2 linked regions of the Diceros bicornis minor genome follow. The protein of the gene in region 1 interacts with the protein of each later gene in a biochemical or structural test. Links are inferred from orthologs where the notes say so. Each region holds a gene or a part of one and is shown on either strand. Other genes may lie near its edges.

Region 1 (9,652 bases):
TCTACATATTTATTTCTACAAACTCTTTGGAAGGAAAGTGACAATTCTATTAACAGTTTGGTATGCTGTATAGGAGGAAATAAGAAAAACATACAATCTAAAGTTTTGTCTAAGAAAACAAAAAATCTCAGATGGAGTTTCCAGAGGCAGAAGGAAGAGAAATTCAGCATCTGTTTTAGAGGAACACTGAAAGAACAAGACAATTAAAAGTAATTTAAAACTAAGAAAACTAAAATACAAATGATTAATCTGATGGTTGACATTAATTTAATGGCATAAAAACAAAGGGATTGGACTAGGGAAAACAGAAGAGAGAGGAAATATTTAAAAATATATTTTTGTTTAGATCAGCATTTTTTTTTTTAAGACTTTATTTACTTATTTTTTTCCCCCCAAAGCCCCAGTAGATAGTTGCATGTCACAGCTGCACATCCTTCTAGATGCTGTATGTGGGACGCGATCTCAGCATGGCCAGAGAAGCGGTGCATCGGTGCGGGCCCGGGATCCAAACCCTGGCCGCCAGCAGCAGAGCTCGCGCACTTAACCGCTAAGCCATGGCGCCGGCCCTAGATCAGCATTTTTGAAGGATATTTGCAGTCAATTCCCAGAAAATAAATTTCTTTCCAAGAGAAGAATGTATGAGTGTTAAAGTATATCCAGAATTATTTTAGAAAATCCAATTGAGAAATATCATTTTCCAAATACTGATTAAACCAAATTTAGGTGAGATTTATCCAGTAATCTAATGATGATATGGTTGTCATCGACAATATGGAGATGACTCACTCTTACTTTGGAATAGGAGTGATATGCTACTTAACTAAAAAAAGTTTTTATGTAACATAGTTGGCGTTTTAGAGCAGGGCATTTAGCCTCTTGCTACACCTCAAATTATGCTTAATACTTACATATCCGCTATTTTTATGGCATATTTGATGCTAAACAGTTTTTTAAAACAAAATACTATAGAAAAAAATGTAAAGTTATTAAGTGTGAGCTTAAGTGAGTAGGAAAACAGCAGTTTTGTTACTCAAAGAAAGATAATATTCTTAAGTGAAAGCCTGCATTAAGGAGCATTAAGCCACAGTATTTAATCTTTTGTTGTTGCTGTTAATTTAATATTGTTAAGATTTAGAGAGAAGTGTGCATATTGCAATATGATTGAAATAGATTATGATTCACACCAGGGAAAATTTGAGAGGGGAAGTGGATCAGAAGAAGGTGATAAAGTTGGAAACTATGAAGGTGACTATTTGCCCCTGTTGGCTCAGCGCAGTCCTGGTTTTACATTTGTTGTCCCTGTGTAATTATTATTAAATGTCTGCTTTCACTCTCAAAAGTGTTCTAGCCTGGATGATACACTATACGGTCACCTTAGAAATGATGGAAGCATGTTACATGTTATCAGTGCATCTAAAAGTGCATCACTACTAACAGCTAACACTTTTGAGTCTGCCAGAAACTGTGCTAAGCACTTTGTGAGCACTGTCCCATGTGGTCCTCCCAGTAATCTATGAGGCAGTTAGTATTGTAGTCCCCGTTCTGGAGATGAGGAAGCTCAAGTTTACGTTTATAGATGTTCAGGAACTTGCCCAAGGTCATTCAGTAGCCAAGTTTCTAATTCAAGCAGTCTTGTTTCAGAGGTCACACAAATAATCACCACGCATTATTCATTTCCTCCACACTTTAAAAATGTTCATAAGACATCTGAAAGAAATTTAATTTGGATAGGCTACGAAATGTATGGATAGGAAAAAAGATTATCAAGGATATACTAGGGGAAAAAAAACTTCAAAACTTTTCATAAAGCTTTTCACAAATAGAGGGAGACTTCCCTGTGATTGATAAAATATTACTGAAAATATGTCTGAAAGGCAGAAACATGCTATGGGAGGGATGTTTCCATTCCCAAAGTATTATAAAATCTTTAGTTTTGGTTCCTGCATGTTACTGCCTCTTTTGAGCCCAAATGTCCGTTTCCCACACACTTGCCACCCTAACCTCCTGCCCTCACTATCAACGGGCTAAGATGGAAGTGAAAATAGGGAAGTCAATCCCTATTAAAAATATATGTTATAATGCATTTTGATCTAATTGATCTAATGCTTCTAGACTTTTTTTGAATCTAACTCTATTCTAGCCTGAAGATTAATTTTTCTCAAATACTACTGTGATAAAAGCTTTGGTTCAAGGTCACCAATTCTTTACTAGGTGTTGAGAAAGGGAGAAAAGAATGATCACCCTAAACTTTTCCTTGCCCTCTGCTAACTTGGTCACAAATGCTTGCGCACAGCTGCTTGGCTGGCATGGGGAAATGACAGGGAACCCTTTTTAAAACAGTGGATAGGCTCTCTGTTGAGACACTTTTTTTTGATGGATGCTGTGTGCATTCCCTGGAACGCTTAAGGTCTTAAGGCTTTCCTTCAGATATGTGGCTTATCTCTAGCAGACAGTAATTCCTTTCCTGAGCCCAGCCATGAGAAGGGAGAATCCCAAAGAAAGAATTCCCTGTCTTTCACGGACAATTATTTAGAGAATCACAATGGGGAATATCAAGTTATACTATCAACAACTATTTTTTAGCTTATTCTCTAAGGTGGTCCTGGAGTTCATTAATCATTACAGAATTACAGTTAGGCAGCCTCATTTAAAGTGGGGTTTTACTTCTCCCTTTAATCATAATTGAAACATTAAGTCCATCTTAGTTCAACTGTGGAAGGATTTTCAAAGGAAACTAATTTGTAAAGCACGGAACACGAGTGCCTTGTAAAAGAACAAACGGAAGATTTGGCTATATCTGTATGTGCTGCTCATATGAGTTAGAACCAAGCAGTCAGCAATGAATAACAAAGATGAATCATTATTCTGATTGTTGAATACTCTGATCATATAGTTGTCATTTCACCCTCGCATGAGCACAGATGCAGAATCCCTGCTGAAGATACTTTACAGAAGGATTATTAAAGAAACATTTGTCAAAATAGGTAATATTGGTAAGTGTATCCTGGCTTCCATCCTCTTAAGGCCAGCGTTTTGGGGTTCATTCTTACAGTATGAGTAAGTAGGACTTATTTAACAGTCGAATAGGGAGCACTTTATTGTCTATACTTCTCTACTCTCCATATATTCCCCCGAAGAATGAAATCACATTTCCCACTCCTACCTTCTCAGCATCAGCATATGCTATCTCTATATTCCCTCCCATCAAAAGCTGCTTTGGGGAAACAATCTGATGAATTAGGTATAAAAGACTAATAAGGCTTAAAAGAGTACCTTTCCCAGGATTATGCTAGAGAAATAAACTACTCAAAGGAATTAAATGCTAGTGGCAAAATTTAGGCGAGTTGGAGGAGGGGTTTTTGGTCATAGGGACTTTTGTAGCCTAAATGGTAGTCAGCCAGATTGGTCCCCAGTATGAGTTTAAGTCAAAATAAAGGCTAGGGCCAGGGCAGGTTCTAGCCTAGGGACTGGTCTAGTCCTATTTATTTAGGTTTGCGGGTGGTGTGGGGACATTACATTTACTTGATTCTATGATGTCACATTTAAACGGGTCTTGAATCAACCTGAGACTAAATGTGACATTGGAATCCTAGAATCCAGCTGGTCTACAGCTGGCCTCTGGCTGGTATGGGAGATACTCCATGCTGGGCTGCTTTAGGAGAGTGACCCTTGCAGTTCAGAGCTATACCAAGGAGTCTGGTCAGACTCAAACCAGTTTTCGAAAGTGGAGTAGGAAATCTTTCTTGTGACAATTAAAAATAGCTTATACTTACTAGTAGACCTGGCTGCTGTTTCCTGCTTTAATGTTCTCTTACCTCCAGTTCAGCACTAAATAAGCCTGACCACTTTGGTAGTGTCTGTGAACCTTCAACTTCTGCTCTAAGCTAAGGAACTACCTGTGTTTATTCTAGCAGTTCTGGAAGTAGTTAAAACGCTCCTACCCCTAACAGAACGTCTTGAATATCTTTGGAGTTGTTTCAAGCGTTTGTCACTAGCATACAACTCACTTTGGTAAATAATTCTTTGATGGACTTCACGAACTCCTTCCTTTGGATGCAAGCCAAAAATCATCTGTAGGGCATACAGCTCTTTATTCAAACTTGCTAATAAATAATTATCTCTGGAACACAGACGGAAGAACTGAAGCAGTGACTTCAGGGACACAGAGACTAATTACCATCACTGTACACGGTTAAGTACAGCACAGACTGGGGGCGGGGAATGGTTCGTTCCGTATCTATTAAGTTCCTTCTCCGGGTGAAACAAGGCCGTCTTGTCTGTCAACATATTTAAAGCAGTAACTGCACAAACTGTGCAATGTTATGGTTGAGGCGTTCTATGTCACGTGTTGACAGAATGCTTAAGAATCTCTCTCCGCAGTAAACGCAAACCCTGCCAGGCTGATAGATTAGGGCCAGCGCAATTCACCGACTGGTGCACCGAAACCGCTGGGGTTGGAAGCCTCTGTCGCTTTCGGAGCGTATACAATGTTTCCTCTAACAAAGGCACCACCTTGAGGCAATTTCGCGGGCCCTTTTCCCCCTCCCAGCGCCAGCTTTGTCTCCCCGCCGGTGTGGGGCTGAGACTTGGAGGAGCCCCAGCTGCGCTGCTGTGCGAGCAGGCTCGGAGCAAGGGCCGGCGTGGGAAGCTCCCCTGAGCTGCCGCTGTGGTTTCCTGCAAACTGAGCGTGCCTTTAGAGGAAGTTGGAGTGCTGCAGTTGAAAGAGATACCTGCAGCCTGAAAATCGGGGCTGGACTTGAACCCCTCGCGCCGATCACTGTCGTACAAAGACACTCAATCGGCCGGGGCGCCGGAGGCCCGCTACCGGGCTGGGCGCGGGGCAGCCGGGGTCAGCGTCGTCAGCGCGCCCACCTTAGGCGGCTGGGGAGTGGGCTGGGGGCGGCAGGCGGGCCTTCCCCGGCCTGGGCCGGAGCGGGCCTCACGCCGCGCCTCGCACGCGAGCCCCCGGCCGCCGCCGGCCCCTCCCGCCAGCCCCCGGCCCAGCGCCGCCGACGTCGGCCCGCGCCGCCCCGTGCGCGGTGACTGGCTCGCGCCGGCCTCCCCCGGCTGTGGGCGGGGGGGTGAAGCCGGCGGGAGGCCGCCCCGCCCCCGCCGCGGAGCCGCCGCGCGCAGCCTCTTCCCCCCTCGCCGGCGGGGCGGTGGCGCTGTTGCCGCCGCGGCCTGTGAGGCAGTGCCTCCCCTCCGCCCCAGCCCCCTTCCTCCTCCTTTCTCTGCGCGCCCTCCCTCCCCTCTCCGTCTCGCGCTCGAGTGAATGTGGCGCGGCGGCGCGGGACGCAGCCTCGGCCCCTGCCGCGGCCCCGCGAGCTCCTGAGGAGACGAAGCCGCCGCCGGCGCGCACCCCCCGCGCTGCCCGGGGGAGCCTCCGCCGCCCGGAGGGGGAAGAAGAACGAGGAGGGGAGCGAAGGGACGGCGGCGGGAAAACGGGAGAGGAAGCAGAAGAGGGGTCGAGGGCGGGTAGGGAAGGCGGGAGGGACGGACGGAAGGACGGACGGCCCGACGGACGGCCCGGGGAGGGGGCCGCCCTCGAGGCTGTTCGGCCCCTCGGCTGCAGCTCGGGGCCGCGGCGGCGGCGGCGGCGGCGGCGGCGCGGGCGAAGGGCGCGGCAGGCGCTATCGAGACAATAACCGCGCTGCCCGGCTCGGGGGGCGGTGGCGGCCTAGCGCGGCCGAGGCTCGCCCAGCGCGCGGCCGCGTCTTCGCGCCCGCCGGCCGGGTTCCGCCGCCGTCGGGCGTGCGGGGCGCGCCGGCCTCCCGGAGCCCGAGGCTCCGCCGGCGCCCCCTCCCCTCCCGTCCCCTCCCCCTCCAGCGCGCGGAGCTGGTTTTCCGGGTTGCCCTGGACCGAGCTGGATCCTGCTTCTCGCCAGGGCAGGAAGTGAGTTTCGCACGGTAATTCCGGGCGGTGTCACGAGTGAAAAGTTTTTTTTTCGGCGGAGATCTTAGTTGGGGCTGGGAAACTCCTGCAAAACTCGAGACCAGGAAACCAGCCCGCTTCCCAGCCCCCACCAAAGCAACCTACTCTTCCTCTTGCGGGAGGCCGCTCCACATCCGCTCTTACCGGAGAGAGAAATTCGGCTGGATCCGAAGTGACTAATGAAGGGAAGGAAATCATGTCAGGCGAAGCGTTGAAAAAGCTGCCCTGAGACACTGCCCGACCGAAAGGTAATTTCCACGAAAAGTGTCTAGAAGTCACAAAGCTCCTGGGCCAGGAAAGAGAGGATAGTTGAGTGTGTTTCACTTTTTCCCAAGTGTCCCTGAATTCACCTTTGCTCATGTCGAACGGGATAGTGTTTTAGGTGCTAAATGGTAGAACTGATTTGTTTTCCCCCTTCTACCATCAGGACTCTGGTTATTTTAGAAGAGGTTGAAAGAATGCGGTGGGATGAAAAGTTTTAAGCAATCTGAAGAAAGAATGCCTTTGTTCAGCGCAAGGTCCAGAAGTTTTAGTTTCCCGGAACATATACAGTGTATATTTTTTATTTGTTAAGTTGCTGAACCGGCAACTTTGGTTTTAGAAGAAAGGTCGCTGCAGCGAGTGGTTTGCTGTTGTTGAGATGGCTGCCACATTTGTTTATACTGTTACCCATTTATTAGGCTTTTGCGTTCAGTCGTATATAGAGATTTTGTAGTTCCAACACTTAGAAATATATTTCGTTGAATTTATAAACAAAAACCTTTGCCATTCTGAGTCATTTTTCTAGGTGGGTAATATATTTCTTCAGTAACTTGTTCCTTTCAGACGCTTAGAACCTTATAATACTTGTATGGTTAATTAATTGAAAGCAAGGGTCTGCTAGAGTTTTTTGTAGCTGACCTAGTAGGAAGAAGGAGAGCGTAAGTGTTGTGGATAGTTACAATTAAAAAACAAAAAACAGCTATAAGTCGTTTGATTTGTTAGGACGTCTCTGCAGTTCAGATCAGAATATATAGGAAAGGAAGTAAAATGCTTCAAACGATTTTCTTGGAAATCACATTGTGATAAAGAGCTGTGCTTTTTGAATAGTACAGTATTTACATTTTTGTGTTGGCCCAAATGTTTTGGCTGGTTCTGCCTAATAAGTGATAGGTACCTGATGTAGAGGCAGGGATTAGTGATGCGTGAGAGACATTCCACCAGGCAGAGTTATAAACACTACTGAACCAATCGGTAGTCTTTATAGATCAAACTAGTTTTGGTCGCAGCAAACACAAAACGGTTTCTTCAGTGGCCTTTTAGTGTGTATCTTTTTTAAGTTTTTTTGTTTTTCCAGTACTTTTCTGGTAAAGGGAGGTGAAAGACAATACTGTGCTTTTGCATAAATATTAGATAAATATGGTGTTCCATTGTAGGTATATCTAAAATATAAATTGATGTTTAGTTTGCCCATGCTACCCCAAGAAAAATAGTTGGCTTTCTTTAGTCCAAAGAAGAGAAAAGGTAGGTTTTAAAGAGATCAAATTATTTCACAACTTGGTTTTTGTTACTTTATTAAGTATATTTCAAAATGAGACTCTTTTAACTATTTATTACTATATATTGTTTTGATATTTTCCCCAGAGCCTAGTCTCTGGAGATCCTTTTTTTTTTTAAAAAAAAATTCGTTGGTAAGATTTGTGAACCATCAGGTAATTCCTGTTAAGTCAAAGCTGCTTTATCAAGGAATTTAAAGTAAATAACTGATCTACTTTTTGATTTTGGAACGTATCATTAGGCAGCGAAGGAGGTTATTCTTGGGCATCTGAAAGAGCGGAACAAAATAAATGGCACTGAACTTCAGTTCCCTTATATGGCTTATACTTGGCCTCAGAGCAACAAAGCCTTAACAGAACAAGTCTTTTATAGAGAATTATCATTTTGAGCAGATATTTCTCTGCATTAGTAAATTTTATGTGTAAGAAATATTGTAGCATTTGAAAATAACTTCTTAAATTCCTGTTTTTAGATATAGTTCTTGATCGTTGTTTTTCTTTAGGGAGCAATAGTATGTTTAGATGTAGACCACACGTTTTTAAAAGTGAGATGTTCACCTTTGTAGTTGTCTTTGATTCCTTTTTTCCCCTCCACAAGGCAAAATTTACTTTGTGGTTTACTTACAATTTTTGTTAGTTTAGCACTGAATTAACTTCATGAATTTTAGGCTTTATACTATTGTCAAACTATAAATATTTTTAAAGCCTTGTTTAAAATGTGACAGTGGTTTGAAAAGAAGTTAAAAAAACAATAATCAGTTAAAATATTTTTAAATGGCTTCAAATTTTGTATATTCTTCTTAGTATTGTGTGGGTTTTCTTAGATTAGATTGGCAAATATAGAGTACTTCAAAGTGTTTGCTTATATTGCACAAATGCACATCTAATGCTACTGTTTATTGAAGGTACTTAGGAGTTTTCAATAGTGATAAACTTGATTCTTAACTAATTAATTCAGATATTACGTTATGAAGTCAGCCTGCTGTTTGAGAACAAGCTATTGCAAACTTTTCACATCTGAAAAGCTTACCAAGGTTCAAATATGGAAACCAAATTTTTATTGCATGTTGTTTCTTAATGAAGTGATAGCTATACAGACGTTTTACATGTACCACATTGGTACATCTCTAAAATTCAGTTATTTTAGAGATACAGTTGTGCATTCCATGACGACTTCACTCAATGATGGACAACATATATGACAGTGGTCCCATAAGATCAGTACCATGTAGTCTAGGTGTATAGTAGACTATATACCATCTTGTGTAAATACACTCTGATGTTCGCACAATGACAAAATTGACTAATGAATCATTTCTCAGAATGTATCCTGTCGTTAAGCGACTCATGCCTGTATTGGTATTGAGCTCTTGGTAGTACACAATACCTTACTTCGGTAAACACACTTTAAAATTTCAGAAAATTAGGGGCATACTTAGGCATTTATTTTATTTTTTTTTAATTTTTATTTTATTTATTTTTTCCCCCAAAGCCCCAGTAGATAGTTGTGTGTCATAGCTGCACATCCTTCTAGTTGCTGTGTGTGGGACGTGGCCTCAGCATGGCCAGAGAAGCGGTGCGTCCGTGCACGCCCGGGATCCGAACCTGGGCCGCCAGCAGCGGAGCACACGCACTTAACCACTAAGCCACGGGGCTGGCCCTGGCATTTGTTTTAAATAATTGCTTATAGATAACATGATTTAGAGTTTAAGCTGTTTTTGATTTAGAAGTAGATTATAGCAGTGTTTACAAAGTATTTGGGATTATGCAGAATTTTAGTCATGTTGGATAGCAAAGTAATTTGCTTTTCTGTAATTGCTACTTATCTAAATTCTCTTTAAACACACTTTGTTGCTTGCGTTTTTATTTTGACTCTTACCCTTGCTCATCCATTTCTCTGTTACATGCTTTGTTTTTTCTGGGAATGCCTATATTATAAAGTCCTAAAGATGTCTTTCTCTTTTCCTTTCCTGGTATCGTGTATTGTACCTGTGTAGCTGTTCACAATAGATCATTGCGTTTTTGAATGCACACTGTTTTCTCTGCCTTAGAAAATATATACGTGAATTATGCTCTATAATACCTACTTTTGAGTTTTCTAAGGAAATAAGCTTAGCATTTCTGCCTTCCACTTTTCTTTGATTTACTCCACATTATTTGTTTTTTGTTTCTTTCTTGGTGCCTGT
Region 2 (9,943 bases), on another chromosome or scaffold:
GTGATAAGGACTGGGGAATCGGCTGACTTTTCTTAACTGCCCTAGAAGCCTTGAAGAAAGAGAATGAAAGGTCCAGGGAGCCGACAGGTGAAGGCCCTGTGAGAGGCAGAGGCCTCTGTGGCAGCACGGGAGAGACCTCCGTCCCCTGAAGCAAGAGGGCCCAGAGTTGGTTGTCAACGTGGCTGGTCTGCAGGGCAGCTGAGCCCGGCACCCAGGCAGGCCTCTGCCCAGGCTGAGTCCAGGGCTGGGCTGCGGGGAGAGAGTCCCTGAGACCTGGAAGGGGGCACTGGGTGGAGGTTTCGAGAAACTGGGATTTCTGATTCCCTGACAGATTAGCTAGAGAAGCACAGCTTTCCATGGCCTGGGGACCACGACAGGCTGTGCTGGGCTAAAAGACACGATGCTCAAGGGCTCCTCATGCTGTGCCCCGTCTCCCCTCACTGCCTCTGGACCAGCAACCGGCCAAGTTCCGCAGACCCGGCGGGGGCAGTCCCAGAGCAGCCAGAGGAGGAACGGCTTGTTCATCAGAATCCCCCTCTGTGTTCAAGAATGGGTTTGCTGGACGAGGGTGGGAGGGGCGCACGTACGGCTGGATGGGAGGGTCTGGGATGTGATGGTGCTCCCATCTCAGGATTAACATCTTGGTGCGCAGAGCCGGCCCTTAGTCTGTGCAGGGATAGCTCCTCAGGCTGGGCAGCCTGGGCAGAGTGGGGAGGAAGGGAGGTGGGAGGGTTGGAATGGACACCAGCTGGAGACCTGGAGACACTCCTTTCTCTAAAGCAGCTAGAATGCCCCGACGAGGGGCATCAACGTCACTAAGAGGACGTTCTGACAGGCAGTGGCCGGGAGGGGCGCCAAGTGACCAGGTGGAGCTAGCATAGCAGCCATCCAGCCCACAGGGATAGGTGCATTTGGGACGTGGCATGAGCAGGTCCCGAGGCACAGTAAGCTACTGACACAAATGACCCAGTCCTCCAAGTCCCCTGCCCCCGCTGGCTGGACTCCCAACATTCCTCAGCTCACACCTGCGACATCGCGGAACGTTTACTATGACCAGCTGGTAGAGAGAGAACGGGCCTGCTTTACGAATGGGTCTGGTTGATAATTTAGTATGAACCGAAAACGGACTGCTGCCACATGACAGCCCAACTCTGGGGCGGGATAAAGGACCGCGGTGAGGACTGCTGGCAGAGCTTTGAGCCTTTCATGGTCATCTCCTTTGCGCTCAGACGCTTGGACAGGGTGGGTGGCTGGCTCCTCGTCTGGGTGCCCGGAAGGGGCAAGGTGGGACGAGTGGTGGCAAGGAGGTGGGGAGGGGTCTGTGGAGGGACCTGTGGGCGCAGACACAGGCCTGTGGGTCTTGAGCCCCATGTCCATCCCCAGAGAGCATCACTGAGGCAGAGGCGCTCAGCAACCAGGCGCAGAGATGGTGTCTGTAGCCGAGGGCAGCCAGCCTAGGCTTTGCCTGCCACTCCAGTGCCCTGCACAACAGGCCATGGACAGCACAGTCCTGATGGCAGGGATGGAGGTGTCCAAGAGATGGAGGGGAGCAGGAGCTACAGCTACCGACTTCGCTACCCACAGCAGAGAATGATTCTGCCCGCTGATGTGGTAACACCAGCCACTTGGCGGCAAGTCGATCACACCCAAGTCCTGCAGTCCTGGAGGGAGAGGCGATTCCTCTCACTGGATGGATACATGCAGAGGCCAGGGAGGGGGTGACTTCCCGCAGGGTTAGGGACTGTCCTTCAAGACAGCATATACGTTGAACCAGTGGCTGTTATATGGTGTCGTTCCCCTGGTAGCTACAAGGCAGCATCCAGGCAGCAACGGGGAGAAAGAGCATTGGCCCCCTTACCATCTCTCCCAGGGGTCCACGTGGGGGATCTCCTGCTCTCTCGACTTTAGGCTCTGCTGAATTAGAGGTCATTGCCCCTGGAGGAGACCCTCAACCACAGGAGACGGGAGTCAGGGGATAACTCTTAGCCTGTTGGTCCTCCGGTTAGAAGACACTGAGACCTGTTCCTCTTTGCTTCTCCAGGCTCCCTGGGGGAACAGAGCCCCTTCTCCCCCTGGTCTCTGGGGGAATGGGGCGCACTTACACATCTTTGATTCACTTTTTTCCCTCCTCCCCGTTCACTTTCTCCCTTTCTTCGTTTATCCTTCCCGGGATGGCTTCCAGAATAAACTACTTGCACCCAAGTTGTTGGCTCAGGATCTGCTTCTGGGGGAACCTAAACTAGGGTAAGTGTCTCAGTGACATTATGTTTCATAATATACTATATTGGTAAAGTGTCTTCCGATCTTGAGTAATTTTTCAGCCATACATGTTTATTAACTATTTTTTTCCTGCCCTGCATCTTTAATTTTTAGCAGTTGACCATATTTATGCCAAATAAATAGGACCCTGATAAAATGAGTGTCTTTGATAACACACAGTAGATACAATGAGCTTCATAGAACTGCTTCTTACAGCATTTTTCAATCTAGATCATAGTCCAGTCAATAAAAGCAATTCTACAGGGAGAGATTGCTACGCACTGCTAGGTAAATAGCCATCTGCCTGCCTGGCTTCAGGTTGGGGTAGATTTCAACGTTTTTGTAACACCATCCCCAAGCACCAATAAGCTGACAAATAGAGTCAGCACAGTTCGGCTGAGCTTTGGGTGACTACTGGTTTGTGGCCGTTTGTGGGTGCACCGCAATGACGACTGGGAGGTGGCTCTCAGGCATTACCAGGCAGCCGAGCTGGGCGTGAAGCTGAGGTCCTCTCGTGAGATGTCAGGGAACTGAAGGGCACATGCTCTTCAGAGGTGGGTCAAAGGGCATCCACAGGCAGGGCCCAAGTCTTCCGCCAACAACAATCCTAACTGGCTCCAACCAACAGAACAACGAGTTCTCCTCTGTAGCACACGTCCTCTGTAATAGGAACTTGGAAAAATGTTAAGTGTAACCAAATGCCCACCTTGGATGCTAAAACAGCTCAGTTAAACACCAAAAAACACCTAGTTTTGAACAACGTTACTTTCTAGAATCCCTTACAAATAAACTTTTCTGAAATTAATCTACATCCGAGGTAAAAGAATGCCACTAATAGCTCTGAAGCATTTAAACGCCCAGGGACTTCTGAGACCAGTTCTGGCAGGTGGCCCGTGGGTCTCCCTTCTGACAGTAATTGGCGCCAGGTTCACTGGTGACCTAAGGCCACGCCCCAGAGTTGCCTTTCTGTACCACCATTTGATTGAGTCAAGTTGAATCTTACCCTTGTTTACCAGATTACAAGCACCAGATCTAACGTAATGGAATCTGAAATGACTGTACTCTAAATTACGTCTCCAAATGAGCAGTACTAAGAGTAAACAGGCATCTCTCAAGAGTGGAGAACTACTCAGGTCAACACCCTTCCACTGATAGAGTCTTTCGGCACAAAATTTGATGGAGCTGTTAATTGCCGTTTCCTAAAAGTCGTGTAGGGAAGTGGTCTAGAAAACATGTGCGGTGTGTGGGTCCTGGAGGCTCAGAGCCCAGGTTTGAGGCCATCTCCACCACTCGTTGGATGTGTGACCAGTAAAATGGGGACAATGAGAGAAACTCCACAAGGCTGTAGTAACGATGGTGTGACATAATGTGGGGGGGGGGTGGCGGGGGAGCACTGGGCAGAGACACAGGGAGCTCAGGAAGTGGCGGCTGTGACCACCGAGTAGGGGGCCCTCAAAATCCAGAATTCATACTGCTCTTTGAATTACTTTGTGTTTGCATTTGGAAAGAAAATTTAACGCTAACTCCAAGCTGGAAATAAATGCAATAACGATTGCAATGGAAGTACTCCGGAAGAAGGCAGAGGAAGAGGAGAGTTAAGCCTCTGTTTTTAAAAGTCTTTCTAGCCTTTGTCACTAACTGGGTTGCTATATGTGTCTGGCACACAGTAAGCTCTCTGTAGGTGACCGTTAATACCGTCTGAAGCTGCCATGGGCAGTCCTAGCAAGCAAGTGGGGAAGGCACTCCTGGACTGTGGATGGAGTAAATGGAAATACATGGACACCTTCACACCTGCTTCTTTCAAGAAGAGGCTCTTCTCCTTCGTTAGCCTTTACATGTGTCAATGTCATTCGTTGTTTGAAGAAGCAAGTTCCTTAAGTGACAGTTGGAGGGCTGAGTTCTTCAGGTTTGGCCCGAGTGCCTTCAAAGCCTTGTCTGCAACAGAGCATCTCTTGTCCAAGTGGGATCTGGCCAAACGGCCTGTTTGGACTGAGCTGTTCTCAGTCCTTGTTTCCCTATCATCTGCACAGACCCAGGTCAGCCTCTGCTCTTTTCTTGACCTTCCTCCCATAGTGTTAGAAACGTCACCAGCAACTTAAAACAGAGTCGCTCCAAGGTTTCTGGTCCTGGAGAGGGGCCAGCCGCGTCCCTGCCGCTGAGGTCACAGGCCTCCCAGCAGGGGGCACGCATGACACCGGCCGCACCGCGCTCTGGGGCCTCCATATCCCCAAGGATCGCAGCAGCGCCCAGAAAATCAATTCTTCCCTGAATTAGACCCATCTGGTTACAGATTTAATTATCATTTGTGTTCTGTAATTATTGGCTTGCAAGGTAGGGGGAGAGAAGCAAACATCTCGTTTTCAGCAACCCCCCAACCTCTTGAAATGAAACTGGCAAAAATAAAAAGAGCATTCTGGGAAGCATTTAATAATTTAAACATTCATGAATTGAGACTATAAATAAAGGGTTCCGAGTCCTCCGAGAGGGGAGAGGACAGCGGAAGGGAGAGGACAGCGAAAGGAGCCTGGCCGGGCTCTCGCCTCCGGAGGGGGCTGCGCGTGGGCTCCGCGGGGCGCAAACGGTTAAGAGCGCACGCGCCCCGCGGGTTGGGAGGCCCGGCCAGCCCTCCCCGGCCCGCGGGCTGTCGCCTTCTGGAGGTCACCGGGCCCTTGGGGCGGGGGCCCACAGCCGGCCTCGCAGGTGGGGGCGCGCGCACGGCGGGGGCGCATGGCGCGGGGCCCGGGTGTGGAGGGCGCACGGCGGGGGCGCACGGCGGCCGCCCGAGCGCGGGGGTGCTGGCGGCCGGGGGGCCCGGCGCGGGGCCGCTCAGCGCGGCGTCTTTTCTTCTCCTGGCAGTGATGTCATCGGCGGCAGCGGCTGGGAGCCGGGAGGCGGCGGCGGGGGCGGCGCCGGGCGGCCGCCGCAGGTTCATGTGCATGTAATGAAAAGGCACTTGACAGTCGGCCAGGACGCACGCGAGGGAGCGCGAGCCGGCCGGACCGCGGCGCCGCCCGAGCCAATCGCCGTCGCCGGCCTCTCCATGGGCGAGCAGGAGGAGGGGGCGGGGGGCGCAGCGGGCCTGGCCGCGGCCGCTCCGAGGTGAACGGCGCCGAGACCGGCTCGCGGCGCGGGGAGGCCGGGCGCGCCGCCGCTATGAATTCCGCCGAGCAGACCGTTACGTGGCTCATTACCTTGGGGGTGCTGGAGTCGCCCAAGAAAACCATCTCGGACCCGGAGGGCTTCCTGCAGGCGTCTCTGAAGGATGGGGTGGTCCTCTGCAGGCTGCTGGAGCGCCTGCTGCCCGGGACCATCGAGAAAGTGAGTGCCCCCCGCCCCGAGCCCCCACGGCGGACAGGCCCGCACGGCGGACAGGCCCAGGGCAGCGGGAGCCCTGGCGGGGGGAGGCCCGGGGCGCGCGGAGACGCGCGGGCGCGGGGTTGCTGGCGCTCGCACCTGGTGGCTGCGCGGGCCGGGGAGCGCGGGGCGCCGAGGAGCCCACGCGCCTCCTTTGTGCGCGGACCCGGGAGCGCGGGCCGCGCGGGGGGCGCGCCAGCGGCGCGAGAACCCGGTGGCGGGAGCTCGGGGCGCCATTGTGTGCGGTGCCGGCTGGGGAGGGGGCCGGGGCCGCGTTCAAGAGGAGCGCCCCCCGGGAGGTCCGGAGGGAAGGGGAGCGCTCTGCTCTGCCCCGCCCGAAGGTGGAGTCGTCCCTCTCGGTGACCCCAGCAGAAAACCGTGCTCCAGCACTGCGCACAGCTCGTCCGAGGGCTTTGTTTGAACAGCTTTTGTTGCTGGTATTGTATGAGAGTTTCACCCTCTGTTTAATTGACCAATTGCTATGCATTTTTTAAAGCTGCATTCATCGATAGCTGAGGGCTGGGTTGTGAAACGATTTTCCGCCCTCTCCACGAAAGAATTCTTCCCGTCTGCGCGCCAGAGGATGGCAGACACGGGGTTGGAAAGCCCTGGCATTCTTCAAGGCTGGCTTAAAATCCTAGATTTCATTTTCAGGTTCATACCTGAATTTGAGCGGAACCCCTAGTCCTACAGACTCTGCTCCTCTTCTTCATGACGGGCAGTTTCCGGGGCTGGAGTGTGAACCTTGACCCGCATCTCCGTGAGTGACTAAAGTTTGCGTTCCTCTCCACGGCTGACGAAGCAGTGCAGGGGACGGAACGCTTTTAAAAACGGTGTATGCCTGTATGTCAAAAACACTGCAATCTTGTCCCATTTTTTTTTTTTGCCAATACATAATCTTAAGATCAACAATTACTTACAAGGTGTTAAATGGAGAAATTGAAGTACACTAATTAGGAAAAACTATTTCATTTTTTAAATGGAGTTGTCTTGACCCCTACGCACAATAACAATTTGCTAATAATGCTAATTAGGTGACTTGAAAAAGTAAAATGTTTAATCTTATTCATAAGTTTGTGCATGTTCTGGAGCTACATTTTAAAGGTCAGAAAAGATTCTATTTAATATGAATTTTACATGCATACTAGTTTTAAGTATTTTCCTTACGTGAAACATATTTATGAGAATAGAATCTGCATTTTAGAGTGAATAGCTGCCTGCCTGTCCAGGAAATAAAATTGTTGGTGTAAATGAACCTGATGTCACAATAAAATTATGATTTAGGACAGGAATAAGGAGCAGGATCTGACTTTCAAGGTACTCAAAATACTTTGTTGTCATCTGGATATCAGGTATCCTCTGATAATAAAAGACAGATGCTGAAAAGCGTTGAAAATGCATGCTAAGTTTACCAAAATAGGCTTATATAAAATACTCGTCCATTTCCAAGAGGGAAGCTTTAAGAAACTTCATGTGCCGTCTGGATAAAAACATGTTGCTCTCAGTGCATACGTTACTTGGTATATTAACTGCATTCATATTGATTGGCAGACTTCAAAAATCATTTTCTTTTGCATTCTAGAAAGATTTTCTTAGAAAACTGTAGCATTCCTTTCATCTCTAAAACAACATAGAGAGGAATGAATAAAATGTTTAGCTTGAGGAAGCCAAATTGAAACAACCCAGCATATTCTGAAAGCTGGTCAGTTGGAGATTTTTACATTGTGACCGTCTCGTTAGTCCCCCCAGGCCCCGCTGGTCTGCTTTAGACGGACACAATCACAGTGCAAGTTTAACAGCAAAGTAGCAAATTATAGACAGAGCTACTTATTCTCTGTGGTTCAAAGGTAGATTTTTGGAGTAAAATATTAGCCAATCTCTGCCTCTAAAACCCTGGGTTTCAGAAGTTTTGTGAGCTTTTCCATTTCCTGAGAACAGTTATTTATTTGAGCTTTATGATATTTGAACGCACACAAATAATATATGTGACAAAGCATGCAGGCTGAACAGCTGTAACTCGCATGTGGGAATGTTCGTCTGAGGATGTTTTTCCTTAAAAAGGAACATTTGGAAACTTAACTGAATATTCATCTGGAATTGAGGATCTTGACTTTACCCCAGTTTGCTACATGAACACATGACGACTGGCAAACACAGCTGCAACTTCACATTTGCAAATTCACAGTTTAAGATGAACCATTACACTAGGGATAGTGCAGAATTAGGAAAAGGTTAGTGGTGGCTCAGGTTCCCAGATGCCTTTTATTAAGAAAACATTCCTAATATGTTTCTTGCGTTGTGTTCATTTGTTCTGTTTTAGAGCCAGTAGAGGGTGGAGAGCTGAGAGGACATTCATTTCCGTTCAGATTGTTCTCATTTTAAAGAGGTTTTCTGCCCAGGACCTCCTTTGTGCGGTCTGCCTTTCTGTAGGCGGAAGGTGAGGCAGGGACAAGAGGGGATTATGAACTCTGTGTGAGCAGTTTGGAAGAGAGACACTTTTTTTTTTTTTTACTGGCCAGTGAGGCACTGTCTTTTTTTTTTCTTTTTGGGGAAGGTTGGCCCTGCGCTAACATCTGTTGCCAATCTTCCTCTTTTTCTTTTTTCTCCCCAAAGCCCCAGTACATAGTTGTGTATCATAGTTGTAGAGTTGTAGCTCTTCTGTATGGGACGCTGCCTCAACATGGCTTGATGAGCGGGGAGTAGGTCCGCACCCAGGATCCGAACCAGCGCGACCCCCTGGCCGCTGAAGTGGAACACACGAACTTAACCACTATGCCACCGGGCTGGCCCCTAGAGACACGTTTTGTTATTGCCAGTGATGTGTTCTCTGGCAGAGGGGAGAGAAGAGTGGGGATTACAAGGTTTCCCAAATCTTCGTGTCTGAGATCTTACACTTCGATTTTTCCAGTAATGGCCAGGATGTCTTGCTGACCCACCCACACTATTTGCTTCCCTCGTTCCTCCTGTGATGGGAAACGCACCAAGGCCGCAGAATCAGGGAGCCCTGTTGGCACTGAGCTCATGACTTAATGCGGTAAACATCCCTACATTATTTAGTCAAAGGGGGTGAAATCAAGTGAGAGAACTTTTAGAGGATGGAACAGGACTCTGAGATTAATAAAACATTAAAATAATGGAAGTCCTGAAATGCTGCTTAACTTTTACTTGTAAATGCAGCAGCTGCAGCTGGTCGATTCACCAAGAAAAACTCAAGGAGCCTGGTTCTTTCTCCCTACACCCAGGAAAACAGAACACACAGTAATCCGTCAAGTGCTGCCCAGAAGACACTCCATCCATCAATATTTGCGGAATGCAACTGAAAGTCAGATGCTACCCTTCTGGTCTTGCTACAGGTCCTGGGTGTACGTGTGTGCACGCGTTTAAACTGGTTTAAGCTGTTGGGCTGTGTGTTAGTGTCCTGGGGCTGCCGTAACAAAGTATTGCATGCTGGGGGCCTAAACAACAGAACTTGGTTCTCGCACAGTCCTGGAGGCAGCAGTCAGGGATGGAGGTGTAGGCAGGGCCGTCCCCTCTGCAGGCGCTGGGGGAGGATCTGTCTAGGCCTCTCCAAGGCTCCCGGTGGTTCCTTGACTTGTGGCAGCACAACTCCAGTCTTCCATGGCGTTCTCCCTGTGGTCTCTTCCCTGTGTCCAAACCTCCCCTTTTATAGGGATGCCAGTCATTGCATTAGGGCCACCCTACCCCAGTAGGACCTCAGCTTTACTAATTACATCTGCAACGACCTTGTTTCCAAATAAGGTCACATTCTGAGGTTCTGGGGGTTAAGGCTTCATCGGATGAATTTTGGTGGACACAATCCAGCCAAATCAATTTATTAAGTACTTATCTGCCTGCAGGGTGCTAGGGGCTATGGGAGGTAAAAAGACTAACTAACAGGCTTTTCAGGGTTTTAGTACAGGAGAAAACAGAACTAAAACCCAGAGCGCTGTGAGGCAGAAGGAGGCGAGAAGCAGACTGTCGGGTGCAGATGAGAAGGGGCGGAGCAGTGAAGGAGCTCTGGGAGCCCTGCCTCTGCTGCGCTTTCTGACACGTGGATTGGAAGGTTTGTATTTCCCCAAACCGTGACCTCCAGCCCCAGGTGATCTTCCCCAGGCCTGCAGAAAATCAGTGATTTCCCATATCAGCAGAGGAAAAAGAACCACTTTCCCTGATTGATTCTCCACTCGCTTTCTGATCAGTGCCGGGACTCGGGGGTTGGCTGGGGGTGGGCTGGGGAGAAATGAGGTCTCAGAGGCTGCTGGACAGAGTTGAGCGCCCCCCGTGAGAAGCTGGCCTTTGCTGAGGGCCCTTTGCCCCAAGGGTGTGGTCC

Evidence for each region. The genes of interacting proteins can lie anywhere in the genome.
Region 2: the proteins of ERBIN (region 1) and ARHGEF7 interact in a test that uses a peptide from one of them, tested with the Homo sapiens proteins (2 studies listed by BioGRID and IntAct). The link is inferred for Diceros bicornis minor from reciprocal best matches to the Homo sapiens genes ERBIN and ARHGEF7.

Annotation. Positions count from the first base shown.
Region 1 is NC_080759.1:11,089,133-11,098,784, reverse strand, and holds the start of ERBIN (erbin), read left to right. Parts: upstream 1-5,533; 5' UTR 5,534-6,179; intron 6,180-9,652. UniProt on the Homo sapiens protein: Acts as an adapter for the receptor ERBB2, in epithelia. By binding the unphosphorylated 'Tyr-1248' of receptor ERBB2, it may contribute to stabilize this unphosphorylated state.
Region 2 is NC_080748.1:85,189,134-85,199,076, forward strand, and holds the start of ARHGEF7 (rho guanine nucleotide exchange factor 7), read left to right. Parts: upstream 1-5,370; 5' UTR 5,371-5,412; coding exon 5,413-5,577; intron 5,578-9,943. UniProt on the Homo sapiens protein: Acts as a RAC1 guanine nucleotide exchange factor (GEF) and can induce membrane ruffling. Functions in cell migration, attachment and cell spreading. Promotes targeting of RAC1 to focal adhesions. May function as a positive regulator of apoptosis.